7 linked regions of the Oryzias latipes genome follow. The main gene of each other region encodes a partner of the protein of the gene in region 4 in a complex. Links are inferred from orthologs where the notes say so. Each region holds a gene or a part of one and is shown on either strand. Other genes may lie near its edges. The genes, in order: sf3b4, sf3a1, ddx42, sf3b1, sf3b6, dek and mybbp1a.

Region 1 (4,224 bases), on a different chromosome or scaffold from region 4:
CTCAGGTTTAACAAGAATTAGATGGTAATCTGTCATCATGTTCCTTTTGTCTATTGTAGACTTCATTGTATGTGGTGAGAACACCAGCAGCCGAATGTATGCTCTGTGTCACCGACAGAAGGACCTACAATGCTGCTCTGGTATGGATTGTGTTTGAAATGTAGATGGATCAGGATTCAGTGTTGGTTAGAGGTACAATAAGAAGGTTAGAAAAAGGAGTTTGGAAAGTTTCTGAGCTGCTTTTCCTTTTTTGGTTTGAGATACCACAACTTTACATTGAGAAAATAAAATACAACCTCATAACACTTGTTGAAAAGTAAAAATCTTTATAGTTAGGCACCCTATAAACATGAAGGCAGTTGATCCGGTGGTCTTTTGAAGACGCTTGTGAATGCAGTTTATTGGACTGTCTCTACTTAAAAGATCAGTCTGGATTTAGGCAAATTAAACAGCAGGAGGGCTGGCATTTGTGCAGCACAATAAAAGTTTAGGAATTGGCAACATAAAATAACAGAAAATTATCCAAAAGACTGAGATTAAAGTCTACCATTTGGAATTGTGTTATGTTGATACAACTTTAAGAAAATAGGTAGTATTTGATTGTAAAACCTTTCAAAAACATCTTAATTAAAACTTTTTGGCCTTTACACTTCTTACATAATGGATCTGTAATTTGCTCAGTTACTTGAAACATTTGAAAGATTTCTAATGAGACTTAAAAGGAATGAACAGTTTGACTGAAATAAAAATTTGTTTTTTTCTGCTAAGTCTGTGACTCAAGTTGGATTAGTCAAAAGACTTTTTTCCTTTTTCTTTTCGTTTGATTATTATTATTATTATTTTTAGAAACAATGATTGCAATATCATAAGAGCCATCAAAAAATGATCTGAACATCTTTTTTATTAAGCTTTTGGAGACTTTGACCTATGTGTGTCCTTTTTGTTTCTTACTTTTCTAAATGAGCAGCCATTTTTAGCTCTTAATGTTCATTTTTTTTTAATGTAAAAGTCTCAGCTCTGTACACAAATGCATTTCACTTATGTTATTATTGATCAAGGCTTTTTTAACCCATTTTTATATATGCATTTATAAAATGAAAACATTGGCTTTTTGTGTTTTGAACTTTGTTGCATGACATGCTTTTTTATTTTATTTTGATACAGTATTGTTTTATAAAAATGGTTTTATTATGCCCAAATTGTATTTTGTATGAACAATTTGTATTCCATGTTTATACTTTTAGTAGATTTATATAAAAATGTATATAAATATGTAATAAATTGGTCCGTACAAAGTTTTGAACTTTATCTGGTCTTGTGTTTTTATTGTTCGATGCTATTAAAAAAATAATCTAAAACGAAGCAAAGATATTGTATTTTATTTTTTGAAAGAGGAGTTCATTTTATATTATAACTTCCGGTTTGCTGAACAGGAAGAGGCGGAGCTTCCTACATGAACGCTTCTGGTGCGTTGGTCATTCAACATGGCCGCGGGACCAATTTCTGAAAGAAACCAAGGTAATTTACGGAATTATTACCCATTTCTTTTGACATTTAGCCGTGCATAAATGTATGTAATGTGTAGTAACACCCAACAAGGGCACATTTTTCCTCATAGAGCGAATATGGATCCTAAAATTAGCTAATATTCTTCTGTTGAAACCGGGTAAACACATGGAGTGAAGCGGCTTTAGCCTAGCTTGTAGCTAATAAAGCCATTCTCCCAATTAATCGTTTATCGAATTTGCACTTTAGATGCACGTCCTTTTATATAAGCATTAAGCTGTGAAAAAACGTATACTCATTTCCATTGTTGCAAATCTATAAATAGAAAGAGAAAAAGCAATATTTTATGCCAGGAACTAATACTAAACAACTGCAACTTCTTTCATAATTTAACTTCAGTTCATTGACCTCATTTTATTCTTACCAGGCAGCATGATCATTAAATTTTTCACAGTTTCAACAATGGTTTTAAAAAGAACTAATGAAACTTTAAGTGAACATAAATATGGTCATTTCTTTTTGTAATTCGTATTCATTAACTTGTGTCAGAAAGTGGAAACCTTTGTAGTGTTTTACTCACCAAGCCTGCTCTTGTCTGTCCAGATGCCACGGTGTATGTCGGTGGGTTGGATGAGAAAGTGTCGGAGCCGTTGCTATGGGAACTCTTCCTGCAGGCTGGTCCTGTGGTAAACACGCACATGCCCAAAGACAGGGTCACGGGTCAACATCAGGGTGAGTGCACTTTCAGTTGGTCAACAAGATTGAACAATTATCTTCTTAGAAAATTATCTTTACAAAATTGTTTTTCTTTATTTAGGTTATGGCTTTGTGGAATTCCTCAGCGAAGAGGATGCTGATTATGCTATTAAAATAATGAATATGATCAAGCTCTATGGAAAACCCATTCGAGTCAATAAGGCCTCGGCACACAACAAAAACCTGGATGTGGGTGCGAACATCTTCATCGGTAACCTGGACCCAGAAATCGATGAGAAACTGCTCTACGACACATTCAGTGCCTTCGGTGTGATTCTCCAAACACCAAAGATCATGAGAGACCCAGACACCGGCAACTCCAAGGGTTACGCTTTTATCAACTTTGCCAGTTTTGATGCTTCTGATGCCGCCATCGAGGCCATGAATGGCCAGTACCTCTGTAACCGGCCCATCACTGTGTCGTACGCCTTCAAGAAAGATTCTAAAGGGGAGCGCCACGGCTCCGCCGCAGAGCGACTCCTGGCGGCGCAGAATCCGCTGTCCCAGGCGGACAGGCCCCACCAGCTGTTCGCTGATGCCCCACCACCTCCCTCTCTTCCCACCCCGGTCCTGACCACACTAGGAGCTGGAATGGGTATTCCGGGCATGGGAGGTGGGTGTTACGTCACATTTATGTGAAAATAGTTTTGTTTTTTTAAAGACTCGCTTTTATGAACATTGTCTTTTTGATGTATTTTTGTGGCATTTTTCTGATGATAGAGACAAAGAAAATGTAGCTCAAACTTGCATTTGACTGCAAACTGCAAAAATTAAAAACTGGATTTAAATCTGAAGCAGACAAAAAAAAAGGATTTTTCTGTAGTTTTACATAACTACTGCCATTCCGCAGAAACTATGTTCTAGAAAACAACACAGGATCTTTTGATTTTGGCTAAAAATGGCATCATCACCATCATCATTTTCATAAAAGACCGCTTTGAAAAAAGATCAAAGGATGATCAGTGTGGGACTTGTGTTTTGTGTTAGCCTAAACAAGTGTTTTTACAGATACAAATTAGCAATTAGCTGCAAAAATACAAACAAATGTACCCACAAGTCCTTCAAGTAGATTGTGTTGATTTGTGTGTGCAGGTCTGCCACCTCCTGGTGCCTTTCCCCCTGTTCCTCCCCCCGGATCACTCCCTCCTTCCATGGCCCATGGCATGGGGATGCCTCCATCAGCAGGTGGCCCACAGGGTATTGGCGGTCCAGGTGGACCACCACCCTTCCCGCCTGGAAGTATGCATCCAGGTGAGACATTGTGACTTCTTAAGAGTGGTTTTTGTCTTTCTGTCGGAGGAAATACAGAGGTTTTGAGCCTCAGAGCCGCGTTTACTTTGTTTGGCATCCGCATAAACATCTGAAAGTCAAAGCCTGTTCTCGTTTTAGTATCTAGTTTTTCTTCCCGCCACCTCCAGTTTGATCCGTTTCTGTCACTCAGGTATGCCTCAGATGCCCATGCACCCTCCCGCTCCGCCTGGCATGGTTCCACCTCCTCCTGCTCCACCAGGATCATCCCAACGCGCCCCGCCCCCCAACCTCCCCCCACCCCCGCCTATGGGCATGCCGCCCAGAGCACCATATGGACCCCCCATGGGTGAGTGTTATGACGCCTCTTCATGTCTCTGTCAAATAGAAAAAACACCTGAAAGGAAAAACGGCGTTGAAGGAAGTGTCAGAGTTGGCAGGATTTGGCAGAGACGCTCTGAAAGTGATGTAATGGGGGTTTGGTAAGGAACCAGGTCCGCCAATCATCTCAGTCACTGACTTACATTTATGAAATCACCTGTGCTTGTAGCATCCTAATATTTGAGTTGTTGATAAAGTAAAACTTCAAACAAATACCTACCTTTTCAAACTAAACTTGCTAATGAATTATTGTCAGCTGAATTAAGGATATCCTGATCAGATTCAGAGTCGTTTGGTTTTTAGTTTTGATTTGATCATTTTAGACTTAAACAG
Region 2 (4,216 bases), on a different chromosome or scaffold from region 4:
TTTATGCTCCTCCTGTTGCTTTTGTTCAGTTTGCTTTGCGCTTCTCTGTGCTTCCTGCAGTGAAAACTCCAGTTGTTCTATATTTGTTTGCTGTTTTTCTAGTTGTTGTTCAAAATCCTTCTGCACTGTTTTTAGTTGAGATCTGATGGCCTCACGATCCGTTTCAGCTGCTGCTACTCTGTCTTGGAGGGGCAGTACCGTTCCCCTCACATCCTGCAGGTGTTTTGCCAGCCTGCGCATGTCTCTGAGCTGTTCATTGGCCCACTGTGCAACATCACCTGGAGTCAGATGTCCCACCCTCACTGTCTCATCCACAACTGCTGAGAGAGGCTGCAGAGATGAGGGTAGACCTTCACTTTGAAACAGATCTATCAAAGATTCTCCAGTTTTTCTCAAAAGAGATTGCACTTGGTGACATGTACCACAAGGGATGAGGGACGTTTGTGCAGTCTGGCAGCTGACATTATGGGAGGCAGTTTTAGGATGGAATGAGGTTTGTTCGGGGGAACTGATGGTGATGTTATTTTGTGGGAGGAATTTAAATGAGCTTGTGGAAGACCAGGATATGGAAGAATGCCTGGAGCAACTTGTGCTGGATCTATTGAGAGGGGACTCGACGTTTGACTCATCAGATTCCACTGAATTTGTCTTTTCTGCAATGTTTTTGAAGAGTTCCTAAAAAGACATAAAAGGCATTTAAAGTCAAATACTTTTGCATGTGTTTTTATCCCTGTGGCATTACTAGAAAAAGAGGTTTCTTTACCTTTTTATCTGCAAATTGAAGTAAATCCCCCCAATAATTCCTGACCACAAGACCAACTGACATGCTGCCTCTGTGTGCAGCTCCTTCTGGTCTGTGGACCCCCATCTGTTGTTCAGCATAAACGCTGACGCTTTGAAGAAGAAACAGGAGCCTTGTTGGGGAACAAGAACATGCAGAGATGCTTTTAAAGTCATTATATATATATATATATATATATATATATATATATATATATATATATATATATATATATATATATATTTTACATGCAATACAACATTAGGTTACCTGTCAATCATCAATTCCAGGAGAATAATGTGGGAATGCTGATTGAAGTCATCTTCTCCTGCCACGAAGTCATATTCCTCCAACAAAGCAACAATGTCTAGATGACAGGAAAGTTTGTCCGGGAATTTCCAGGAGGAAGCGCAGACTGGTCCTGTTCTGGAGAGCACGTCCAGAACCGCACCCTGAATATCGATGAGGTCTTTTCTTAGATTCTTGATAGAATCCTGACGACCCAACAACAAACTCATGTCTAAAACGCTTATTTGGCGCCTATAAGTACTTGTTGACGTGAGGTCTCCTTGGCAACAGTTAACTCCAAGTCCCACAGTTCTTAGCGGATATTTCCGGAAGTAATTGGCCGCCATTGCGTTAACGAAAACGAGACGCGGTGAGTATTAACGTCGACAAATAAAGAATTATAGCTGTATTAGCTATTACTTTTTGACTTACAGAATTTTTTTTAAAGAATTCATTTCAAAATATATGTGTGTTGCTTTAGTGTTTTCAGGTAAAATTGGTGATTCGTTAAAAAGACGCAGCCATGCCGCCCGGGCCTGTTCAAATGGTTCAGCCTGAGCCTAACAACAAGGTAAGGACGCTAACTAGCTAACATTAGCCTCAGATATCCGTCGCTTTTCTTAATGATTTATCGCCTTATAAAATTCGCCCCCTTTATGCAAAGCTTTCTAAGCCTGTCCAAAATTAAATGCTAATGTTTATAAAGCTGTAAAACATATGGGGCAACGTTTGCGTCTATATGTGTGGCCCTAAAAATTCCCAAGTTGAGAAAGTCAATAAAATTAGGTAACAGATATTACTTAAACTATGATTGCACTTCAATATTTGGTATCTTTGCATATGGTTTAGACTAAATGTGTTAGTTGTATTCTCAGGTTTTTAATGATCGAGTGGTTTAATGTTTAAATTGTTGCAGTGTATCTTAGAATTACCTAAAGTAAGTCTTATTAATTAATAAGTGAATTGATAATGTTTGTGTAATAATATTTTTAAGGAGGAACTTCACTGTACTTGATGTTATTTTTAAATATAAATATTCTTACTTTGAACCTTCTCTTGTCAGAATGATACACCTCCGGAGGAAACTCCAGCCACTAAACCTATTGTTGGCATCATATATCCTCCTCCTGAGGTCCGTAATATAGTTGACAAGACTGCGAGCTTTGTTGCCAGGTTGGTTGCCAAAGAACTGTCACGTACAGCTGTAAGAGGTGTTTGCTATCTGTAGTTTGACTCTATACTTGTCACTTTACAGGAATGGGCCTGAGTTTGAAGCAAGAATCCGTCAGAATGAGATCAACAATCCAAAATTTAATTTCCTCAACCCCAACGATCCCTACCATGCTTACTACCGCCACAAAGTCAATGAGTTTAAGGAGGGCAAAGCTCAAGAACCGTCCGCCGCAGTGCCCAAGGTTATGCAGCAGGCTATGCAGCAATCTCAGCAGCTTCCACAAAAAGTAAGGACTGTCTATTTACTGTGCCCGGACCTACAAGGGTTTATATTTATACAAACTTGCCTTTTCTTCATCAGGTGCAGTCCCAGGTGATTCAGGAAACTGTGGTCCCCAAAGAACCGCCTCCAGAGTTTGAATTCATAGCTGATCCTCCATCAATCTCTGCATTCGATCTTGATGTTGTGAAGCTCACTGCCCAGTTTGTTGCACGAAACGGCCGTCAGTTTCTCACCCAGCTCATGCAAAAAGAACAGAGGAACTACCAATTTGACTTTTTGAGACCCCAGCACAGCCTTTTCAACTACTTCACAAAACTGGTGGAACAATATACCAAGGTAAAGGACAAAAATTACAGCTTTCTTTGTTTTTTTATTGAAACTGTGTTATTGAACTTTTTTAAATGTTGCCTCAACCTTTAGATTCTGATCCCCCCAAAGGGTCTGCTGGCCAAACTAAAGAGAGAGGCTGAGAATCCAAAGGAGGTTATGGACCAGGTAATTTATTTTAGCCTTCAGAAGATTATTTTCTATGTTTAAAACTGTCTTGTTACAAACATCAGGTGAGATACCGTGTTGAGTGGGCAAAGTACCAGGAGCGTGAGAGAAAGAAGGAGGAAGAGGAGCGAGAGAAGGAACGCGTAGCCTATGCTCAAATTGACTGGCATGACTTTGTCGTGGTGGAGACTGTGGACTTCCAGCCCAATGAACAAGGTAGCATGACTATAGGAACACCAGGTCCAGATGTTGCAAGAACCATAGTTATTAATTTATTCATTTGGTGTTTTTCCAAGGCCACTTCCCCCCACCTACCACTCCAGAGGAGCTTGGTGCTCGAATCCTCATCCAGGAGCGCTATGAGAAGTATGGAGAAAGTGAGGAGGTGGAGATGGAAGTTGAGAGTGAGGATGAAGAGGATGAACGGGAGAAACGAGCCGGAGGTCAACCCTCACAGCCTGACCAAGACACACAAGTGCAGGACATGGATGAGGTAAACAGTTATCATTTACTACATTTATACAAAGTCCAACACTTGTCTAGGTTTCTTGGTTACTTGTGTAGCAAATTCACAAATTTAAAATGCTACTTCTCCAGGGATCAGATGATGAGGACGATGGAATTAAAGCTCCACTTCCACCTGACAACCCCATGCCACCTCCTCTGCCCCCGACTCCAGACCACGTCATCATTCGAAAAGACTATGATCCCAAAGGTACATTTTTTTCTGTGATTGAAATATTATGAAGTATAAAAACAAGCAAATAAAACAAGCGGTGCATTAAAACTTGTTTCCTTTTTTTTTTTTTTTTTTCACAGCCTCCAAGCCTATGCCCTCAGTTGCAGCTCCAGATGAGTACCTCATTTCACCAATCACTGGTGAGAAGATCCCAGCCAGCAAGATGCAGGAGCACATGCGCATTGGTCTGCTGGACCCACGCTGGCTGGAACAAAGAGACCGCAGCATCAGGGATAGACAGACAGAGGATGAAGTCTATGCTCCTGGTCTGGATATCGAGAGCAGCTTGAAGCAGCTCGCTGAGAGGCGTACTGATATCTTTGGTGTTGAAGAGACAGCCATTGGTAAGAAGATTGGTGAAGAGGAAATCCAGAAGCCAGAGGAGAAGGTGAGTTCCGTAGAAAGTAGCATGGTTTTTGTGAAAAGCATCATTTGAACTCGTTTTTTTATCAACCTG
Region 3 (4,177 bases), on a different chromosome or scaffold from region 4:
ATATATATTTTGTTTTTTTTTAAATAATGATCTGCTGCATTAACTGCGCAAAAGATGCAGGAAAGCAGGGCAGCATTTGTTTGCTTTTGTGTCAGAATTTAATCTATTAAAGAATTATTAAAAAAAAAACAATAAACCATTTCAACATGATTTTACACTTCAAACTTAGAGATAAGCGGACTTGATTACAAAATGTTGTTTTTTTTTTCTTGATTATTTTTGAAAGTTCTGGATCTTGTGTTTATGAATTCTTTCAGCTTGAATCTCACCTCGAAATAACTCCAAATCCCGTAGACTCTCCACGCTCAATTTCTCAGATACCCAGCGCTGACAAACACAGAAGGTTAACAATGAGCATGAAAAAGGAAAGAAATGCAAACAAGAATATGAAAATATTAGATGAAATATAAACATAAATATGCCATTAACTACAATTGCAAAAACATAACAGTAACATTGTAAGGGAAGTGAAGTACTTTAATTCATCTTGTTTAACTTTTGAGGAATCCATCCTTCTATGAAAACTGGGGATGTCTAGATTTTGTTTTACATTTATTTATTTGAAAAAAATCAAATCCACAATTAAAGAAAACACTTACAAGAAAAGACATGGATCCTCCTGAGTTTGCAGTTAGTGTAGGTGAGGTTTCTCTTCAAAGAAAGAGCCAGAAACACATTGAAGATTTTTGTGTTTGCTCCACTATCTTTATGTTTACGCAAAAGTAACGAAATAATTATTAAGACTAAGCAGTTCTTTAAAAATCCTTGACAACAAAATTAAGAAATCCATAATAAGCTGTGAGGCGCCAGTTATAAACATTTACTCCAAACTCATTGGGCCATGTTTTGGTTTTGCAACATTGAACCAAATGGCTCACAAAGCAAACAAAAACTAAATGTTACCAACTTTCTACTTCTAAAACAGCAAATTAGTCTAGCAGTAATGACTTTATGATTACAGCTCATCAGAAAGTTTGATAATTTAGGCCAAACACAGCCATGTTTAAATTAATCCTACTAATGTAACAAAAAAATACCAATGTTCAACGTCAGACAGAGTAAAATAATAATAATAAAAATTAAAATAAAGCAACGTGCAAAGACTTGAGTGTCGATTTGCTCAGTCAGTGAACAAGACTCTCTCTTAGCCATGGAGAACGAAGGCTAATCGACGTCAGCTTAGCTAAAGTAGCGACAACAGTGGTGTGGTAGACCGTTTCTGCATTTACAACTTACGGTTTGAATGCATAAATTGATGCTTGGAAAAGTGAGACTATCATAAATCCGTCTTTTTTGTCGTCTTCACAAATTCATCCTTACTGGCGGGATGTTTTTTCCTCGATTGGTCACCGAGTCGCGCCCCTTCGACGACCCGCCCACATTGAAAAGTGGACGCCCTTTGATGACGCAAGCATCCCTGATTTTAGTGGAAGCTTTTTTTGTCACTTAAACAGGTAAATATGTGTGTTTTGTTCGTTTTTAACACATTTGTGATGCATTCATACATTCAAAAATGATTTTGTCCTCCAAAATATAAACTAAGTTCGTTTATCAGCGTTGGAATGTTTTTGCACTTTCGTCTCGGCCTCGCAGCGGCCTTAAGTTAGCTACCTCTTAAGCTAATTCTGTCACATTCTAAATAGTTGTCTACTTTAAATGTTGCAATGTTAAACAATAGTAAGGTTTAACTGGCAAGAATGTATCTGCTCTAAAATATTGTAATTTAAAATTATTGTTGTTATATAATTGCTTATTTTTACGAGAACGATGTCACGTTAGCCTAGGCTAGCCCGGGGAATATAAAAACACGCAGGGTTAGGCGGCCCACATACGAACGATACCTTGTTGATCTGTACATTGTTGATGGCTTTCTTTGTTACACAAGTGACAGCAAAAATGTGATATAGTCTCACGCAAGTAAATAAAATTGGAGAAATTGTAAATGATTTAGTCCTAATGAATAAATACATTATGTATTGTTAAATACCCCCCCAAAAGAGCACACAAAAAAAAAAAAAAAAAACAGCAGCAAGCGTGGAGCAGGATTTTTGGCAAAGTAGATGTGGGATAAAACTCGGCGCTTTTATTATTAATGAGAATGCTGTTCCTTGCCAAAATAAAAACAGAATGAACATATTTTCTTACATGATTTTATGTTATTTTAACTAAACATATTTGGACATATTTAAAGATTCTGCTCATCCAGATAATGCAAGTCTTGTCAAGTAATATTTATCAAACCAACATGTTTTGTTGTTTTATTTACAGGAAAGCTATGAACTGGAATAAAGGTGGTTCGGGTGTGAAGCGGGGGTTTGGTTTTGGAGGCTTTTCCCTGGCAGGGAAGAAAGAGGAGTCCAGCCTTCCTCACAAATCTCACACAACATTTGGGGGCGCTGGATCGACTGGGGGATATGGGAAAGGCCAGCAGCTTCCGTCATTCTACAAAATAGGGACTAAACGAGCCAATTTTGACGAGGAAAATGCGTAAGTGAAGTGCATCTCCTTTAACTGTGCGGATATCAGCTGTACTTTAGGTTTGTTTATCTTTCCACTCTAGGTATTTTGAAGATGACGAAGAAGAGTCCAGTAGCAATGTGGATCTGCCTTACATTCCAGCCGAAAATTCCCCAACACGGCAGCAGATGAAGGCAGGCGGAGGCTCGGACAGTGAAGATGACCCGTTGGATGCCTTTATGGCAGAGGTTGAGGTGAGATGAAAATTGCGCTGAAACGTTACTGATCCGCTAATGTCAAATCAGCACTGAGTCTACATTAAAATGCCTAAAGCCTTCCTTAATGTAGAGCCACAAAATCTACGAGTTTGACCATAAAACAGTTTTTTTTAAAGCTATTTTTAAGCTATTTTTCCCAACAACCTACAAATAACTGTGTCTTGGGGGTCCAAGAACGTGTTTTTAATTGTATTATCATGTGAAAGTAAAATTTGTTGTTGTTTTTTTGGTCACAGAGCCAAGCAGCTCAAGACATGCAGAAACTGGAGGAGAAGGAGAAAGAGAAGAAGGCAAACAAGTAAGACTCAGCTATTTATTTAAGCATACAGACATATGTAAACACGTGCACGTTCTGCATGAGCATTCATACATACAAAAACACACGTGCTGTCAATTGATGCACATTTTTAATCGTGACTAATCGCATAACCTCTGTAGCTAACGCAAAATTAATTGTATATTTCTAGCTGTTTATTAATATAACTGTAAAATCCTATTTTTTATGTTTTTTTTATTTGCAGTCCAAGTTAAAAAGTTTGAAAACTTGATGCCTTAAACAAAACATTTAGTTTTGTAACACTAGAAATCTGAAAGATAAAATAGTTCAAAACAACACACCAGTATTTCCTGCGTTTAAAAGTCAATTTCATCACTAAAAGGAAGGAAATAAAATGTTAGTCAATTTAGTTTATAGCTACAAAAAAATGTGATCTCTAAACTCAAATAAACAGATATTTGGAAAAGTGTAGTTACTACAATACTCAGTTTTAAGCCCTTTCATAGGACTGTCGTGGAAAGAAATGCAACCAAGGTTGACACTGCTCTGTCTCTGGACAGTTGCTAAAGATTAGTAAAGCTGCAGGTGAGCACACCGGAAAGAGACAAGATCTGATTTTGGAGAAAATATCTAGTGACCAATTCAAATTCAATTCAATTCACTCTGAAAAAATCTTTTTTATACCCTTTCCTCTGTGTCTTTAATTTGTTTGATCAGAGAGACAAGCACGCAGATTCTTGTTTACTTGTTTACTGCAGAAAGTGTTTATTTTTAAAAGGTGCTTATGATCCTATTAAACATCAATCTAAATGTAAGTTAAAGACGTTTGTGGTTATGTTTTCTTTTGTAAAAATGACTTCTAAAATTATTGTTTTTAGCTTGTGATTAAGATGCAATCCAATCAAAAAAGTTGACGTTCCAAATATTTGATTTTACGCCATAAAAACGTAATAAAATTGAGAGCGTTAATACAAATACGTAAAACATATTTTTTTAACCCACCTCCTGCCCACACTTTAAAATGTCAGTTACTAAGGTTTCACAGCCACTACTGTGAAAAATCTATGCTTTTTGACATGTGGCTCAACTCAGGTAAGCTGACTCGTTTTAGCTGTGGTGGGGTGTGGGCTTCCTTTGGTGTATGAACAAGCCGCAGGGAAGTTTT
Region 4 (4,293 bases):
TGGGGGCCCTTGGTGGCATCAGAGAGCTGCACCCTCCTCTCCAAACTCTTGTAGTGTGAGGACCCCCCAGGGAAGACGGTGTGACAGCACACTCTTTGAGGGGCCTACCGGCAGCTGTTCCTGAAGAACTGTGACGTCATCAGGTACCCCAGCAGAGCACCTTCATGTGCCACTGAGCTTTTCTGAGGACAGCTGCCGTCTTTGATCCAACACCTGGATGCAGGTGAGGGGAGGAGCCAGGATGTCACCTGCAGCATTCCTCACATTTCAGACCTGCTGTCAGTAACATCTGCGGTTATCAGTAGTGATGATGACACAAACACTGAAGTGAGACACTGGAGGTTTTCCTCTATTTCTGCTTCTGCCTGTTTCCCCCGCAGTTCTGGTTCTGGTTCTGGTTTAGTTCTAGCCCACAGACCCGTTTTTATCAGATGAATCAATGAAGAAAAGGTTCCGCTTGAAATGAGCGGTGAAAACCTTCCGAGCTGAACTTTTTTCTGCGGAAGTTCTTCTTCTCCGTCTGCGCCGCGGTCCGTCCCCTCAGAGGCGGAACCGAGCTCCGCTTTGACCCGGGCGGGATGCTGAGCGGCGCCTCGGAGGCTAAGCTAACGGTGGCTAGCGCACCCTACCTGATCGGCCAGCTTGAGGACCGCCATCTCTGGGTCAGCCGCTGCGACCTGCACGGAGCGATGCTGCGCGGCAAGCGTCCGCCTGGACCGGGGCTGCAGCGGCGTCTACGAGGCTCGTGGGTAACCGGTGCTTGCTGTTGTGAGGAAGGCCGTGCCGGGCTCCACGGCCATCAGCCCTGCTCCACGGACGCTATCCGCGGCGCCGCTAGAACGCGGCGGCCGCGCAGAGTCAAAGGGAGGCGGGACAGGTCTGAGCCGCCGCCGCAAACAACCCGCATCTACGGCTGCCGCTGGTCGGAGATGCCGCGCGGCTCTGGGAGCTTTACGGAGCACGCGGAAGCCTCCGTCCGCCCTGGGTGCAGTGAAGGGATCTGGGGAGACAGCGGGCTGAAGGCAGAGCGCACAGGAAGTGGCAGCGTCCGCCTGTCAGATTCAGAAGTGGAGCTTCCTCAGCAGCATCACCGGCCGCGCGGGTTGCCGCTCGCTGCCGCCCCTAGCGGCCACGCGCGGGGCGCCGCTCGCTGCTGCCCCTAGCGGCCACGCGCGGGGCGCCGCTCGCGGCTGCCCCTAGCGGCCACGCGTGATGAGCCGCTGAGGGGGCAGTGAGCGTAAACATGAATAAAGTTAAGTTAAAAAATTATATACAATAATAGAGAAAAATACATACTTATAATCATTATTCAACAAGGTGAATAATGATAATTATAATACTTATTATTATTGTTGCTGTTTTTTATAGGCTGTTTGCACAGTGGGTTGAGAGGAAAGAAATTTCATCTGTGCTGTAGATCTTGTAAAATTCAGTACATTTAAAAATAAAGCTGACTTAATATAATAATAATAATAATAATAATAATAATAATAATAATAATAATAATAACGTTTCTCTGTCGTGCTGGCTAAAAGAGGCGGAAGAAGAGGTGACGCACTTCCGGTGTCAGTCTCGAACAACCACCGTCAAGATGGCGAAGATCGCCAAAACACACGAAGGTAAAATATCACGAAAACCTGTGAATACGTTGTGTGTGGCCCTCTCTTCAGCTCTTTTGCTTTTTTAAATAATGTATGCGTTTTGTGGTGTCAAATGTTTTTTGAAGTTGTGCTTTGTGGCCGACAAAAACATAAAAAACGAGGCGGCCTGTGACGACGCAACGCGGACATTTTACATAATGGCGCCGGTTGCTAGCAAGCGAGCTGAAGCCTCACACAGCACCTTTGCTACCGTGAAATAGTTCACGTTACTGCGCTAAGCCGTTGAGTTCTGTGTATATTGGTATTTTATTTGTTAGTTTGTTATCTGCAGTTGTTTGGTTTTCTTTGTCCTGTAGATTAGCATATTTAACGCGAACACGCAGCGTGACCAACTTCGCCGTGCTATTTGCACAAAATGTTTTTGCAGTGCAAATGAACGATTTTGCAGTGCAAAACGGTTTTGTGTGAATCTTTGTGGTTCTTCTGTGGCAAAGAACCGATCATCCTATCGAAACCAGTCTGCGGTGTTTTGGGTGCAAACCTGGCCGTTTAGTTCACGAAGAACCGCGGGATGAATGTCAGCAACGTGCGTTTGTAACAAAAGCCCAATCTTTCGTTTAACGTGTGATCAGCAATGGGCGCGTGCTGGAGCGATCAGGCTCAGCTTTTGGTGTGTAAACAAAAGACCAGGCTGGAGCTGCTGTTCAGGATTGATTCATCATTAAGCGAGAAAACTGTTCAGGAGCGCGCTTGTTGCATGAAATTACATTTACAAATTTAGCCGATTTCAATTAAAAAGTCAATCAAAAAACTCAAAAGTCCCCCCCCCCCGTTTATTATGCGACTTAAGATCATTTTTCTACAGCTTTGCTATTTGTAACTAATGAAGTTGACTAAAAAAAGTGTCATTAATTGTTGACATTGAAGCTTTCCATAACTTGTTGTGGTTTTTTATTTTTACGAAAAACCCACATGGCCACAAATCCAGTTTTAACAATAAAATATTGTTGAAAAATGTAATGTATATTCATTCCCACATGTATTTTTACTTGGGTGCTTAGATATTGAGGCGCAGATCCTGGAGATCCAGGGGATGAAGGCCTCCCTGAAAGAGGATGCAGGTCAGGGAGTGGGCCTGGACTCCACTGGCTTTTACGACCAGGAGATCTATGGAGGCAGCGACGGTCGTTTTGTGGGATATGTCACTTCCATTGCAGCCAATGAGCAGGAAGATGTAAGTAAAGATGTTTTACCTGCAGTTTTCAGTCTGCTCCCACCGTGCTTGTCTTGTGTGAGCTAGGAGAGTCTTGCCGCTTTGGCGAGATTTGACTAGACTCTTGTTTCTCTTTCTGTCTTTAGGATGATGAAGATGACACATCGACAAGTTTGTTGGGACAGAAGAAGCCAGGCTACCATGCACCAGTGGCAATGCTCAACTCCATTCCCCAGTCAGATGAACATGTATGTGTTCCTTAACATGACAGGAGGTGCACCTTCTTTCCAGGACTTTGGATCAGAGCCTCATTTCTGTCTCCATTTTGCAGTACGACCCATTCGCAGAGCATCGCGCGCCGAAAATCGCAGATCGGGAAGATGAATACAAAGCTCGTCGCAGACAGATGATCATTTCGCCTGAGCGCCTTGACCCCTTTGCAGACGGTAAATGTCACCCTTTTTTATCCTGCCTCGATGCCTCAGTTTCACTTCTTTGTTCTGTTTCTGTGTTTTTCGTGGTTCTTATGACTCTTCCAAGAAAGCCAGTGGCTTCATCCAGGTAGATTTTCTGTTCAACCCTTCGACCACAGTGTAGTAGACTGAAACCTTCCTTTGTTAAACCCACTGTCAGTGTAAGAGGGTTTGAACAGGCATGGGTCGAAGGGTTAACAACCCCACAGTGGACAGCATGTGAGGGTAAACGGCGTGCACGGGGGCGCAGTCGACCACCCTCCTGAGTCTGAACCCTCAACGGGGCATTTGCTCAGCAGCACCTTCTTACTTTTGTAAGACGTGCTTTGAGAAAACATTGCTTTAAATTTGCCCCTTTAAAGTCTGACTTGCCCCGTTTCCGGACATCCAGGTGTCCTGTGGTAATTCAGGCGTTCAAGCTGGACAAGCAGAGTCTGTTCTGAACTGCTCCAGCTTTCAGGGTGAGCTTCTGCAGCGCCCGTGAATGCTGCTGTAAGCCGCTCACGGTAACGCCTCGCTGCCGCCGACCGGCCCGGGGCCGTCAGGTGTGCTTAGGCCGCGTCAAACCTGCATGTGAAGGCAGTTCTTTGTTCAAAGTTGTTTTGCAAATATATACTTTTATTTTACAAGTCTGTAAAATAGAAAAATGTGATCAAGAAACGTTGTGTACACCAATACCACAGGCCCATACTAACTGTCCTTAATTTCTCTCCTACAGCAGTACTGCTTTGCCAGTCCTGTACTGCACTCTGTTAAGGGTGCAGCAACTCATCCTGTGTAGGTTATGGGGGACACTGTGCACTTGTCAGTTTGGTCAGGGTCCACGGGCTGCTTGTTTGGGGGGCTGTGAGGGGAATCAGCGCAGCTACAGCAAACCTCCACCCCCAGCAGCCTCTTTGATTTGGTTCTTCAGAGACCAAGCATTTATTTAAAGCCTTTGACTACATGTCTTCATGTTGATGTTGAAAAAGAAGTCAAAGACCTGAGAGTACAGACTGAGCAGTGC
Region 5 (3,589 bases), on a different chromosome or scaffold from region 4:
ATACGTTTTTTTCTATTGTCAGTCCTACAATGAGTTTATTATTATTATTACTTTCTTATATATTTTTATGACTTCACAATTTTTGTCGTAACTATGGTCAAAACTTAAACAATTTATCCAATCGGACCGTCAGCAGCTAGCACAGTCCGCTGGCTAAGCTAGGTTAGCCATTGAGGACGGGTTTCTGTAAACGGGCGTTTTGCGAATAAAAAAAAACAACTAAAGTCAATACGAGGAGTTCGGCTATCGTTTTGGTTTACAAAAAATGTTAAACTAAAACTCACCCGTTTATTCATCTCAGACTAAGAAAGCTCTCCTCGCCGAGTTGGTCTTCAACCGTCGATCTTTTTCCACGTCGCGAGACTTCAATAAAACGTCCCTTCTAGATTTTCCTCGAGAGACGCCAGTTTGCCGTTGGAAAAACTCCCGCCGTAATCTGCAACCGTTACCGGACCGAATCATCAAATCCCACATGGCGCCTGCGCACTAATACTTTTTCTTTTCTTTTCGTTTCTTTAACCCATAACCTGTTAATTGCAGAAAATAAAAGCACAACAGTTCAACAAATCATTACCCCATGTTGATTTGTTTTCTCATAATTTTATGACTTTATTCTCATGTCGTCGTTTATTTTTCCTCTTTTATATTGTAATACTTTATCACAATTCTATTTAATATTCTATATATAGTTTTTTTTCTCCGAACATTTTAGAGAAAAAATATTTTTTATTTGTGGTTAGATTTATAAAGGTGATTGTCATCTCGCTTTTTTTTTAAATGTCACAAAAGAAGAGGAATCGAGTACTTTGAATTAAGATCTTTTTTAGACTGTATTTTTTTAAAGAAATTAAAAGCACAGCTTTGTTTTCTGTTTGTTTTTTTATGAGAGATGGTTATTTTTACTAACTTCCCCCTCATAAATATGTATAGAATTTGGATTTTATCTTTAAAGAAAAAAAAGACACAAAAGGGGAGTAGATTCATTTTAACGCCAAAACCCCAATTGTGGGTAAACAGGTCAAACTGCAATTCTAACTAGTGCTCAAATCTCCAATATTTTTCTCCAAAAAAGTTAAATACATAGATTTTGTCAGTGTAGGGAATTTCCTAACACAAAAATGACAAAAAAAACTGTTTTGCATTTTATTGATGTTTATAAGTAATTTTACTTTTCCCTACACATATATCTCATTGCACAACACTTTGATGAGAGAGGTACACATAAGTCTTTTTATTTCTTGTGTCTTGTGAAACCACAAAACCACTTTCATGGCCATGTTGATTTTTTCTAGGTCAAAGAACAGAATTACAAAGAAATTTAAAAAAAGTTGTGTTAATAGTATCTCAAAATGTGTGTGATTCCTCTTTTAACCACACGAGGGAAGCACATGCCTATTGCTGTACCTATTGGTATTATCCGTTAACCGGATGTTCGTCTTCGTTTTGTCCCTCCATTTCCTGGTGAAGGCTAAAGGCATTGCGTGTTTGTTGTTTAGCTATTGTTCAGACGAAATAAACTGTCATCATGGCTATGCAAGCTGCGAAACGCGCTAATGTAAGGTCAATTTTTGTGTTTAACTTTACTATATAACAACGAGTATATGTTAATATGGTTTTTGGTGCTCACGAAAGGGACAATTAGCCCTCCGTTAGCCTTTAGCAGCTATTGGTTACTAAAAGATAGCGTCGCTACGTAAAAAAATTAATAAATACGGCATTTTGAAAATGAGATGGTAAAATTGATTGTTTTGTCATCTTAAAATTTTAAAGAATTATTATTGTTTTAGCACGTTAGAGGGTACACTTTAGTGAAGAATTCTTATACCGTTTGTTTACATGCTAGTCTTTCTGTTACACATTTCTTTTTTGTGTGCTGCAGATTCGGTTACCTCCAGAGGTGAACAGAATCCTATACATAAGAAATCTGCCTTACAAGATCACGGCTGAGGAAATGTACGACATTTTTGGCAAATATGGACCCATACGTCAAATACGAACGTAAGTGTTTTGTCTTCATACCTTCAGTTTTATTTGTTTATTTTTAATTTAAAAAAATGTCTGTCCTAAACACACAACCACGTCTACTAACAATGAATATATATAAATGTAATTTTTTTACATGGTAGTATTAATGAGAAGCAAAATTTATTTAAAAAATCGTTTCATTCCAAACTGTGGTGTAGCATTTGCTTAAATTTGACATTTAAATCATTATTAATCATATTAAAAATGCTTGTTTTGTTTGTTCCCCTCACATGTTATCATCATTTAAGAGTCCCTCTTAGATCACTTTTTCATATGTTTTCAGACAATAAAATAAATATGTAAATAAGCTCAATATTCTTTCATATATGTTGTCCTTCATCAGAAAAATGCCATGAGAAAATGTTTTAAAACAGTTTTCATCAGAGTGGGTCTTTAAGGACAATATTATTATGGAACAGGTTAAGATGTGTGACCATTTCATGCTTTTGCTGTATTTTAGGGGTAACACACCTGAAAGCAGAGGAACGGCGTATGTTGTTTATGAAGACATATTTGATGCCAAGAACGCTTGCGATCACCTGTCAGGCTTCAACGTCTGCAATCGTTACCTGGTTGTTCTTTACTACAACGCCAACAGAGTACGTATGCTTTTTATTTCATCCATTTACAACCTTTTTGGTTCCTTGTTTGTTTGTTTTTTTCTGTTTACCATCAACCCGCTCATATTTTTGCAGGCTTTCCAGAAAATGGACACAAAGAAGAAGGAAGAGCAGTTGAAGCTCCTAAAAGAGAAATACGGCATCAACACAGACCCTCCCAAATGATCTCCACGACTATCAAAACCTTCTCACACACCTTAGATTTCTCTGTACCTGTACAAATGTTCCCTTTTTTGAAAATTTTTGCTTGGTCAGGTTTTTGTTTTGGTGCTTTTGTCAACCTTTTATGCATGACCTGCCGTCTGCTTTTTTTAAAAATGACTTCTCTGATGTTAATTGAGCTTTTAATTTGAAGTGAAACCAGGCATGTTTTCAGTTCAGTTCTTTCCCCCCCCCCCACATAATTTTATTTGAAAGTTAACAGGTCTCTGCCTTGTGCTCCAAGAACATCAATGGATGTAATGTTTGTTTAAACCCATTTATTGTAAAATAAATGTCTCTTTTTCTTTAAACCCATTGTCTTTTGTTTTATAAACACCACATATGAACTCACTTTACTCTTGTTTTGTAAACCTGTCACATCAGCTAATTTTTCTTTTTTCCCCCACATTTACACACAAACAGAAAAGTATCTTTTGAGAAGCTGACCGTCATTCAGTCTTTTCCGTCCATCCATCTTAACCTGCTATATTTGTTGCTGGAGCCTATCCTAGCTGTTGTAGGGCAAAGGTGGGGTACACCCTTGTTTACGGAACAGTCAGCCAGAGGACCTGAGAGCTGCAGAGAGCATAGCTGCTTTTAAGAAAAGCTTCAAGACCCATCTTTTTCAACTGCCTTTTAGCAAATGTTTTAATAGTTTTTATTTATTTTGAATTCTTTAATTTATCCACTTTATCATATTTTATATTTTTACATGGGACTATCCATTTGTTTTAAAATTCCTC
Region 6 (4,050 bases), on a different chromosome or scaffold from region 4:
CTATCTTAGATGACCCCCCCCCCCCTTCCATTGAGGTGTTCTCCTACCATGACAAAGGTGGATAAAGGTGGAAAGATTTCCTGTAATCCATGGACACCAGTGAAGATCACAAATCATTGAAGAAAAAAGGTTCAGAGCACTGTCTAGTGGGTCTAGATGACCCCACTCCCAACGTTAAAGTGTCTAGGATAGAACAAGGGTTACCTATACAATGCTACTCGCATGTCTTTGGATGATTTCACAGCTAAATATGATTCAAATAGAAAAGATTTTGAAAACATTATTAATGCCGTCCCTCAAAATGTTGTAAATCAGTCTCTGATCTGTTTCATGATGTCATCTACAGACGTCCTGCTGTCTCCACGCTTCTGGTTAATGGACACAACACAGCAACGTCCAAACCCCCCAACCACCACATCAGAGAATGTTTGAATGAAACATATTTTCCCTGCATCTCAAATCCTGACTATTTAACCCAATATTTTAATAATTCAGAAAATAAACAAATAGGAACTAAATATTTCAACCCCCCCCCCCCCCCCCCCCCCCCATCCCTCCTAAAGCCAAGGAAGTCCACTTTAACACCTTTTCAGGTATTTACCCTTCCAAGGAATTACTAAGAAAACAGTTTGGAATTCCTGAAACCTGTTGTTTTCTTCATGTGGAGATGAAACAACTGAGCAACTTTTCTCTGAATGTTTTCCTTCTAATGTCATTTGGAATAATTTACATTATTGGCTTTTCCCCAAGATTCCACGTTTAGCAGAATTTTTCTATTAAGGACATTATTTTTGGGTTTATTTTAGAAAACAAAAACACAGAACTTATTCTAAATGTTGTAATTTTTTGGGTAAATTCTCTAAACATAAATGTCGATTCCTTAAAATCATGAAGAAGTCTGCTCTTTTTTTTCATCCGTTAACGTCATGGAAAATAAACGATGGAACTTCAAAGTATCAGAGGTAATCTCCTAAGTTATTGATCATTACGATATCCATGTGAGCCCCTCATTTTATTTTATTTTAATCTTTTTATCTTTTTAAGTATTTTTCTGTATTAAACTTTTTTAATGTTGTTTACATTTTTCTATTCCTGTTGTAATTGTAACGTGTTGAATTATTTGCCACAATACTGTAAACCTCAAGTGTTTTTTCAATAAAAGAAAATAAATAAAGTAAATTAAAATGTAAGCAAAAAGAAACTTCCTCTGGTCCTCCAGACCGGTAGGGGGCGGGACCAACCCGCCTGAACCAGAAAAAGAAGACTGTCCAATGAACAGAGCGGCCGCTGTAAGCCCCGCCCTCGAAAGAAACCGCCATCGTGAAATCAAACGGGCGCAGTGACAGGTAAGCCGCGCGCGGGTCTTCATGAAACGGTGAACGTTTCCACAGCTCGCGGGATTCGTGCCGTTACTATACGTGTCTCCGAACTGCCGCCGTTCGCGTCACACGGCAGTTAAGTCAGTGCGTGCAGCGCGCGCGCGCCGCTCAAACGATTGTTTGTTTCGAACTGAGCTCTTCTGCGCATGCTCAATGGGGAACTAACCGGCGGCGCGCGGCTAGGATCTGAGCTTTTCTACTTTATGCTTAGTTTTCTTCTTTTGTTTAAGCGCACCTACCCACGTGCACGCCCTGAAACTGAGCGCGTGGCGCCTGAAAGTAGGGAGTCTGTAGGAATGGCCCAAATGGAGTCCTTTCCTTTATCAATAACAGATGACGGACATACATGCAGCCACTGTGTGGATGAAAACCCCTCTGATGAAAAACGCTGTTTTTGATGATGGAGACATAAAGAACATTAAGATATAAATGGATTTTTCTGTTTCCAAGTCGCTGTGAATCAGGAGCAGATGAAAAAAAAGACTGTTTGAAAACGCTTGTAGGTGTGAGGTAGGAGCTACAATGGGCGGGGCCGCAGTCTCAAAGCTCCGCCCCTTTCCGATCATCCACCTGCAGACCAACCGATTCATGGTCGTCTCTGTTTTCCTGGTCTGAGCTGGAATCTGGATCAGAACCGGACGGCTGGATGGCTCTGATGCTGCTGTTACACTGCTAATGTTGGGTCGTGAGGGGCTGTAAGCTAGCAGGAGAGAGTTAACGGAGGGATGATGGGATGTGGGGGTGGGCTTAAGCGTTCCTGCCCACAACAGAATTTCTGATGAGCTCTGCAGAAACTGTGTCCCACAAAACAACACAGCTTTTTGGGTTTTGTCTAAAAAGGACCTCATCAGTAAAAGACGACTCTGGAATCGGATCAACAGATGAACTTTAATGCATAAAAACATCAACGATGGTCCGGACTGCAGAGTTCGTCCTCCTAAAACTACGGATCCTGGAATAAAGGATCGTCCGGACTGATGTTAGTGAAAATCACGACTGATCCGTCTAAATCCTCCAGTTCTTTACATCCGTGTCTTCTGGGTCCGGATCAGAGGTGTTTAAGGTTCCGCCTTAACTGACCCGCCAACGGGAGAACTGGGTTCTGCAGCCGGTCCTGTCATTCTACCCTGGAATAAGGAAACGTTTCAGGTTAGCGGTGTCTGTGACCTTTGACCCCGCCCATGCACTTGATGGAAGTTCCCTTTGGAAAACGTTAGTCTGAAGCTCCTCAGCAGAGACTTGAACGTGACCCGCTGGTGTAACGTCTGCAATGTTCAGGATGAAGACGACCAAACGGTTTCATGGAATTTTACCGCCGATCGTGTTTCTAACCCGGTTGGAACGCGACCACACGCGGATCAGAACCAAAGCGTTTTCTTCTACAGAGTAGAAGTTCTCCTGGAACGGCTCTGGTTCTGTCCGTTCCGGTGAGCTCAAATCAAAGGCTGTGTGTGATGTCATTGTTTGTAACGGTGATGTCATCATCTGCAGGACTCGCGCCGCCATGGGCAGCTCCGCGGCGTCTGAGGAGGACCGTGAGGAGGCGGGTCCGGACCGGAGCGGATCCACGGAGTCCTGTGAGGACGACGGAGCTATTCAGGTGAGCTCACCTGCGTACCTGCTGCTGAACGTCTGCTCTGCTGCAGCCGGGGGGGGCGACGTCCTCCAGGGGAAGCGGGCCAAGAAGACGGTGGAGAGGCTGGACCTCCAAGCCCCCAAGCAGAAGGAGAAGCTGAAGATCGGAGACGGTGAGCGGCCGGAGCCAGCCCGACCACTGTGGACCAGCAGCTGACCACAGGTTCGATTCCCGCCCTGCAGGTACTGGAGACAAGCTGGGGGACATTCCTCGCACCGCCCACCAGATCAGCAGGATGAAGCCAGCAGACCTGAAGCCGCTCCATTCCATCCTGTACGACCGACCCGGGAAGGTAAAGCCCACAGGCGGCCCGGTCCGCTGAGAACGTTGTGCTGACCGAATCCCTTCCAGGTGTCCACCATGAAGAGGAACCTGCGTCTCTTCAACGGGTTCCCCTTCCAGGCGGACAGCGAGCAGTTCCACCGGAAACGGGACAAGCTGCTGAAGTGAGTGAGAGCCGGAAGAAGGTCCGCTGGTCTCTGGCAGAAACCACAGCCGCTCGTCTCCACAGGAGCTCCAACCTGAGCAACAGCAAGCTGAAGGTGGTCTGCACCGTGCTGGACCTGGAGAAGAAGGGCACCCACGCCGACCTCATCCACAGGATCCTCAGCTTCCTGCTGGCGCCCAAGAACAGCGGCAAGGTGAGTCCAGACCTGGGACCCCAAGGAGGACCCGGCTCCTCTGGAGAGGAGCCACCTTCCTCCTTCAGCTGCTCCTCTCAGCACCTCCTGCTTCCTCCTTCAGCGCCTTCCTGTGAAGAAGAGGAGGAGGTCCAAGAAGAAGCTGACCAGTGAGGACTCCAAGAAGAAGAGCAGGCCCAGAGAGCGCAGCTCCTGCAGCCCCAAGAAGTCCAGAACAGGAAGCAAGTCCAAAGCCATCGTCATGGACTCCAGCAGCGACGACGAAGACGAGGACGAAGACGAGAAGACGGGAGCTTCGGCTACGGCGGCAGAGTCTGACGGAGAGAAACCTGCTGATGAAGAGGAGCAGCCCTCAGAGAGATCAGACAATGAAGAGCAGGTAAGTCAATATTGA
Region 7 (3,500 bases), on a different chromosome or scaffold from region 4:
CATTGTCAAAGAGAAGAAGTAAATAAGAAAAAAAGCAACAGATTTCACATAATTAAGGGGGTATTAAGACTTTTGGACTCCATCCGGACAAAATTAAGCGGACTGGGTCTGGAACAAACGGTCTTTTCCAGTCTGAATACACCCATAAAAAACCGCTTCAATGAAAATTGTGTTCTTGGTGTTTTATAACAACTCAGAGGTGAATTTCTAATAAACCACTACTGCTTTGCAGAGACTATGTCCTACAAAACAACAGATTTTTTTTTTACATTTTGGCTACAAGCAGCATAATCATAATTAAAAGACCACTGGGGACACTTTGAAAATCTCTCAAAAGATGTTTGGAGTGGGTCTTTGAAGATCACAGCTATATTGGGGGGGAGACAGGTTTTTGTGTTGTGGTCTCAGCATTGTGTGTCTACAGGAGCCGCAGGTGGTGCTCGCATGTGTGCAGCTCCTCCAGAGCCTCAGCCCGCACAAACAACACCTGAAGGACCTGCCCACCAAAACCATCATGGACATCCTCACAGAGGTACCAGCTGCTGCTCTGTCACTCCTTTAACTACTCATTACTACAATCTGAACGTTTACCATCATGATGCCGTCTCGTCCATCAGATCCCAGAGGAAGTGTTTGAGGAGGTCCTGCTGAGCGCCCTGAAGTCTGACCTGGCGTCCGCCTTCAACACTCCAGAGCAGCTGCAGCTGCTGCTTGTGGCTTTGCAGCGCTTCCCGCAATCGCTCAAACCCAAGAAGCTGAAGAAGCTGCTGGGCTCGGCCACCATCATCAATGCTGACAACGTCCCCAGGCAGGAGCTCCGTGAAGGTTTCTCCCCATTGGTCACGTTTGACCCAAATGAAACGTCTGATCCACGTCCCTGTTAGGCTGATCGAGGTGTTGAAGATGGCGGCGCACTCGGTAAAGAAGGAGCTGATTCTCCCAGCGGTGGCCCTGGACCTCCTGAAGCTCTCTCTGAAGGAAGACAGCTTCCAGCTCTTCTGGAACAAAGCCGTCACCGAGGGCATGTTCAAGGAGCCGTCCGGGCCGACTCAGTGAGTTCATACCTAAAGGGAGAAAGGTGAAAAGTCAAAAGAGGTTCTTAGTGATCTGCTGCAGACGTCCGTTTCTGCTGTTTCTGCTTGATTTTTTTCCTTCACTTAGAACCGCTGATATAAATGACCTTTAGTTTTTGACATGTGATTAGGTGATTAAAGCTCGGACTTTTCCATTCACAGCTGCTTCTGGCATCTCTGCAGAACGTTTGTGCTGACTTGCTGTCCTGTGTTCCTCCCGTTTCTGTCAGTTACCTGAGCTTCCGGCTGCTCGGCAGCGCCCTGCCTCTGCTCTCCTTATCCCAGCTGAAGGAGGTTCTATCCGGAGAAGTGATGATGCACTATGGAGAACATGTAGTGTCTGCTCAGGTCAGTGTTCAAATCACAAGGCTTGAACTTTTTAAACTGCAAAAAAAAAATCACAATTTTTTTTGTTACTTTTAATTTAAAACTGTTTCATGGAAGCTGAAAGCGGCCTACCCTAATTTTTTTTTCTTCTGATAAAAGACCAAGTCTTGAGTGACATGCCGTCATTCCTGCCTGCCCCTCTCATGCATCATTCTGTCCTCTGATCACTAATGAACTCGACAACAACCACATGATCACTAGACTGTAGGTGCAGCCGGGCCAACCTTTTCCTCAAATGACGACCGAGTTGAACGTCGTACATGTTTTCCAACCTACCTGCCATTGAAGCTCCTTATTGGCTGGTCCAGGTTAAAAGTAAAGGGACTTGAAACAGATTACATCTCGGCATCTTAGTGTGGGAAAGAGAGAGATGGACGCCACAGTGTAGTCTTTATCATGACAAAACGACATTTGTTATCTCATGATGACGTGATAATAGATGTCGTTATCACGAGAAACCAGTCAATCTGATTTTTCCTTCACAAGCCAATCCTGATTTGACCCCATGTATTCATGCCTGAAATATGAAGAGAATACATATAGAGCTTTAAAAATCACTTTTATCTGTTGACCAGCGACAGGAACGTTGGTCATTTTTGCTGCCTATGCTGTTTATGGTCATATTCTTACGTTGCTTGAACTATTGTGTCATAAATAAACTTTTGGAGTTGAGTTTCCTCAGAACTCCTTCTTCATTTTCCTTTTTTTCCAGAAACCAGATCGCTTCAAACTGGCCCCAGAGATGGAAAAATACGTGTCGGACTTCCTGAGGGACTGCCAGGACTCGGATAAACAGCTCGCCGTCGTGGTGGCCTTCTCCTCGCTGACCAACAACGGCTACCCCGTGGTGCCATCAGTGTGGAAGGTGGTGCAGCACCTGCAGCCTGCAGCTCTGCAAAGCTACGTGGCGTGGCTCAGGAGCATGTTTCTGCAACCTCAGATGACAAAGTTGCTGGATTTCAGCACACGCAAGCAGAAGGACAAGCAACAAGTACAGCCAGAGTGAGTTTGTTCGTGAAGATTCATGCAAATTGTGATGCAGAGAAATGGAAGCGTGGAACAATGCTGCTCGTCTTCTCCCAGGATGGAAACTCCTGTGTCCCGCCTGAGAAAGTGGCTCGTTGCTCGACTCTGTTCAATCATCGATAACCATCAAGTGAAGAAGGAGGAGGCTCTCATCATGGATGTGGCCCGGTGAGAGTAGCTCTTTGTGACGATGAGGAGGTAGCGAGGAGAAATCTGAACTGATTTTTCTTTCCAGGTTTGTGTTTTTTCACGCTTTCTTCAGCACCAAAAAGGTTTCTCAGGACATCAAAGAGACCCAAGAGACGCTCTCCGTTTCCCTGGATGATAAAACCAGGGGGGCGCTGGTCAATTCTTTCTTCGGGTAAGTCTAAAGCTTTTCTCCTCACCGTCAGAAAAAGAAAATGTTTTCTGACAAACTGAAGGGGATTCTGACCGATCTTCTTTGCAAGATTCCACAAAAGTTTTTAATGTTTCTGTAACTGAAAAGACATTTTTATCTTTCATTTCTATTCCTAAAACTGAGAGATTTTTAGTAAATCTGATAAACAATTCCGAGCTACTTGAACAGTTTAGCTTATACATTTATTTGTCCTTTTTGACCGTTTCAGAAAAACATTTCATTTAAACTGAACATAGCTGGAACTTTTATTAATCAGGAAAAGAGTTATGACCTTAAAAACTAATCCAAGAAGTATTTTTTTGGTTTGTTTTCATGCTGATTTGAACCCGTTTTCCTAAACTCAGTCATAGTTAGCTCTGAGTTAAAGTCAAACGTGAAACCCTCTGAAGTTTGCAAAAACTAATCTGAGGTGAAGTTTTTAGGAAATTCTCTGGATTTGTCCAAATTTCACTCTTTGAGCTTCAAAATGAGACGACCCTTAATGTTTTTGCTCACCAGTGGTTTGGTCTTGGAATTCTACCATGTTGGTCATTTCTGGCCAGTATCTTTCTGTTGGTGGAGTCATGAACACGGACCGTAATTGAGTTAAGTGAGGCCCGCAGTTCTTTGGATGT

The links.
Region 1: sf3b1 (region 4) and sf3b4 share a complex: the UniProt entries of both Homo sapiens proteins name them as parts of the SF3B subcomplex of the 17S U2 SnRNP complex. The link is inferred for Oryzias latipes from reciprocal best matches to the Homo sapiens genes SF3B1 and SF3B4.
Region 2: sf3b1 (region 4) and sf3a1 share a complex: the UniProt entries of both Homo sapiens proteins name them as parts of the 17S U2 SnRNP complex. The link is inferred for Oryzias latipes from reciprocal best matches to the Homo sapiens genes SF3B1 and SF3A1.
Region 3: the proteins of sf3b1 (region 4) and ddx42 are in contact, whole or in part, in a cryo-EM structure (PDB 7EVN), measured with the Homo sapiens proteins. The link is inferred for Oryzias latipes from reciprocal best matches to the Homo sapiens genes SF3B1 and DDX42. Residues at the interface, in NP_036565.2 of Homo sapiens: Pro509, Pro510, Lys513, Arg517, Thr520, Asp557, Arg558, Tyr561, Lys562, Asp565, Leu566, Arg568, Pro569, Ile583, Ala607, Ile610, Ser611, Arg614, Glu622, Arg625, Asn626, Arg630, Pro646, Phe647, Ala650, Val651, Lys653, Ser654, Lys655, Lys656; in NP_031398.2 of Homo sapiens: Asn68, Glu71, Glu72, Tyr75, Phe76, Glu77, Asp78, Glu79, Glu80, Glu81, Asp114, Pro115, Leu116, Glu117, Phe119, Met120, Val123, Ala127, Asp130, Met131, Arg133, Leu134, Gly146, Ile147, Arg148, Ile151, Glu152, Glu153, Glu154, Asp155.
Region 5: the proteins of sf3b1 (region 4) and sf3b6 are in contact, whole or in part, in a crystal structure (PDB 2F9J), measured with the Homo sapiens proteins. The link is inferred for Oryzias latipes from reciprocal best matches to the Homo sapiens genes SF3B1 and SF3B6. Residues at the interface, in NP_036565.2 of Homo sapiens: Trp388, Ile392, Arg395, Asn396, Arg397, Pro398, Leu399, Ser400, Asp401, Glu402, Glu403, Leu404, Asp405, Ala406, Met407, Phe408, Pro409, Glu410, Gly411, Tyr412, Lys413, Val414, Leu415; in NP_057131.1 of Homo sapiens: Arg12, Leu13, Pro14, Pro15, Glu16, Val17, Arg19, Ile20, Ala32, Met35, Tyr36, Arg46, Gln47, Ile48, Arg49, Val50, Gly51, Asn52, Thr53, Thr56, Thr59, Ala60, Tyr61, Val63, Glu65, Asp66, Ile67, Phe68, Tyr92, Ala97.
Region 6: sf3b1 (region 4) and dek share a complex: the UniProt entries of both Homo sapiens proteins name them as parts of the B-WICH complex. The link is inferred for Oryzias latipes from reciprocal best matches to the Homo sapiens genes SF3B1 and DEK.
Region 7: sf3b1 (region 4) and mybbp1a share a complex: the UniProt entries of both Homo sapiens proteins name them as parts of the B-WICH complex. The link is inferred for Oryzias latipes from reciprocal best matches to the Homo sapiens genes SF3B1 and MYBBP1A.

Annotation. Positions count from the first base shown.
Region 1 is NC_019869.2:7,215,952-7,220,175, forward strand, and holds the start of sf3b4 (splicing factor 3B subunit 4), read left to right. Parts: upstream 1-1,424; 5' UTR 1,425-1,484; coding exon 1,485-1,518; intron 1,519-2,109; coding exon 2,110-2,238; intron 2,239-2,323; coding exon 2,324-2,875; intron 2,876-3,354; coding exon 3,355-3,513; intron 3,514-3,703; coding exon 3,704-3,859; intron 3,860-4,224. UniProt on the Homo sapiens protein: Component of the 17S U2 SnRNP complex of the spliceosome, a large ribonucleoprotein complex that removes introns from transcribed pre-mRNAs.
Region 2 is NC_019867.2:18,886,040-18,890,255, reverse strand, and holds the start of sf3a1 (splicing factor 3A subunit 1), read left to right. Parts: upstream 1-1,416; 5' UTR 1,417-1,439; intron 1,440-1,550; 5' UTR 1,551-1,592; coding exon 1,593-1,640; intron 1,641-2,132; coding exon 2,133-2,242; intron 2,243-2,324; coding exon 2,325-2,529; intron 2,530-2,603; coding exon 2,604-2,861; intron 2,862-2,945; coding exon 2,946-3,020; intron 3,021-3,085; coding exon 3,086-3,236; intron 3,237-3,316; coding exon 3,317-3,513; intron 3,514-3,617; coding exon 3,618-3,735; intron 3,736-3,839; coding exon 3,840-4,147; intron 4,148-4,216. Other genes in the region: ccdc157 (coiled-coil domain-containing protein 157), read right to left, coding at 1-675, 764-914, 1,052-1,416. UniProt on the Homo sapiens protein: Component of the 17S U2 SnRNP complex of the spliceosome, a large ribonucleoprotein complex that removes introns from transcribed pre-mRNAs.
Region 3 is NC_019866.2:4,159,531-4,163,707, reverse strand, and holds the start of ddx42 (ATP-dependent RNA helicase DDX42), read left to right. Parts: upstream 1-1,377; 5' UTR 1,378-1,454; intron 1,455-2,268; 5' UTR 2,269-2,275; coding exon 2,276-2,487; intron 2,488-2,560; coding exon 2,561-2,711; intron 2,712-2,971; coding exon 2,972-3,033; intron 3,034-4,177. Other genes in the region: strada (STE20-related kinase adapter protein alpha), read right to left, coding at 270-327, 600-651, 1,237-1,280. UniProt on the Homo sapiens protein: ATP-dependent RNA helicase that binds to partially double-stranded RNAs (dsRNAs) in order to unwind RNA secondary structures. Unwinding is promoted in the presence of single-strand binding proteins.
Region 4 is NC_019879.2:181,879-186,171, reverse strand, and holds the start of sf3b1 (splicing factor 3B subunit 1), read left to right. Parts: upstream 1-1,493; 5' UTR 1,494-1,591; coding exon 1,592-1,619; intron 1,620-2,662; coding exon 2,663-2,835; intron 2,836-2,960; coding exon 2,961-3,062; intron 3,063-3,145; coding exon 3,146-3,260; intron 3,261-3,376; exon of another isoform or gene 3,377-4,293. Other genes in the region: ankrd44 (serine/threonine-protein phosphatase 6 regulatory ankyrin repeat subunit B), read right to left, coding at 630-656. UniProt on the Homo sapiens protein: Component of the 17S U2 SnRNP complex of the spliceosome, a large ribonucleoprotein complex that removes introns from transcribed pre-mRNAs.
Region 5 is NC_019882.2:13,000,340-13,003,928, forward strand, and holds sf3b6 (splicing factor 3B subunit 6), read left to right. Parts: upstream 1-1,402; 5' UTR 1,403-1,525; coding exon 1,526-1,555; intron 1,556-1,879; coding exon 1,880-1,998; intron 1,999-2,485; coding exon 2,486-2,624; intron 2,625-2,720; coding exon 2,721-2,810; 3' UTR 2,811-3,089; downstream 3,090-3,589.
Region 6 is NC_019874.2:32,321,396-32,325,445, forward strand, and holds the start of dek (protein DEK), read left to right. Parts: upstream 1-1,250; 5' UTR 1,251-1,346; intron 1,347-2,248; exon of another isoform or gene 2,249-2,506; intron 2,507-2,572; exon of another isoform or gene 2,573-2,806; intron 2,807-2,870; 5' UTR 2,871-2,883; coding exon 2,884-2,956; intron 2,957-2,989; exon of another isoform or gene 2,990-3,025; coding exon 3,026-3,127; intron 3,128-3,197; coding exon 3,198-3,307; intron 3,308-3,366; coding exon 3,367-3,461; intron 3,462-3,526; coding exon 3,527-3,656; intron 3,657-3,759; coding exon 3,760-4,035; intron 4,036-4,050. UniProt on the Homo sapiens protein: Involved in chromatin organization.
Region 7 is NC_019872.2:24,978,417-24,981,916, reverse strand, and holds part of mybbp1a (myb-binding protein 1A), read left to right. Parts: intron 1-424; coding exon 425-532; intron 533-617; coding exon 618-808; intron 809-884; coding exon 885-1,052; intron 1,053-1,303; coding exon 1,304-1,421; intron 1,422-2,172; coding exon 2,173-2,462; intron 2,463-2,543; coding exon 2,544-2,654; intron 2,655-2,721; coding exon 2,722-2,847; intron 2,848-3,500. UniProt on the Homo sapiens protein: May activate or repress transcription via interactions with sequence specific DNA-binding proteins. Repression may be mediated at least in part by histone deacetylase activity (HDAC activity).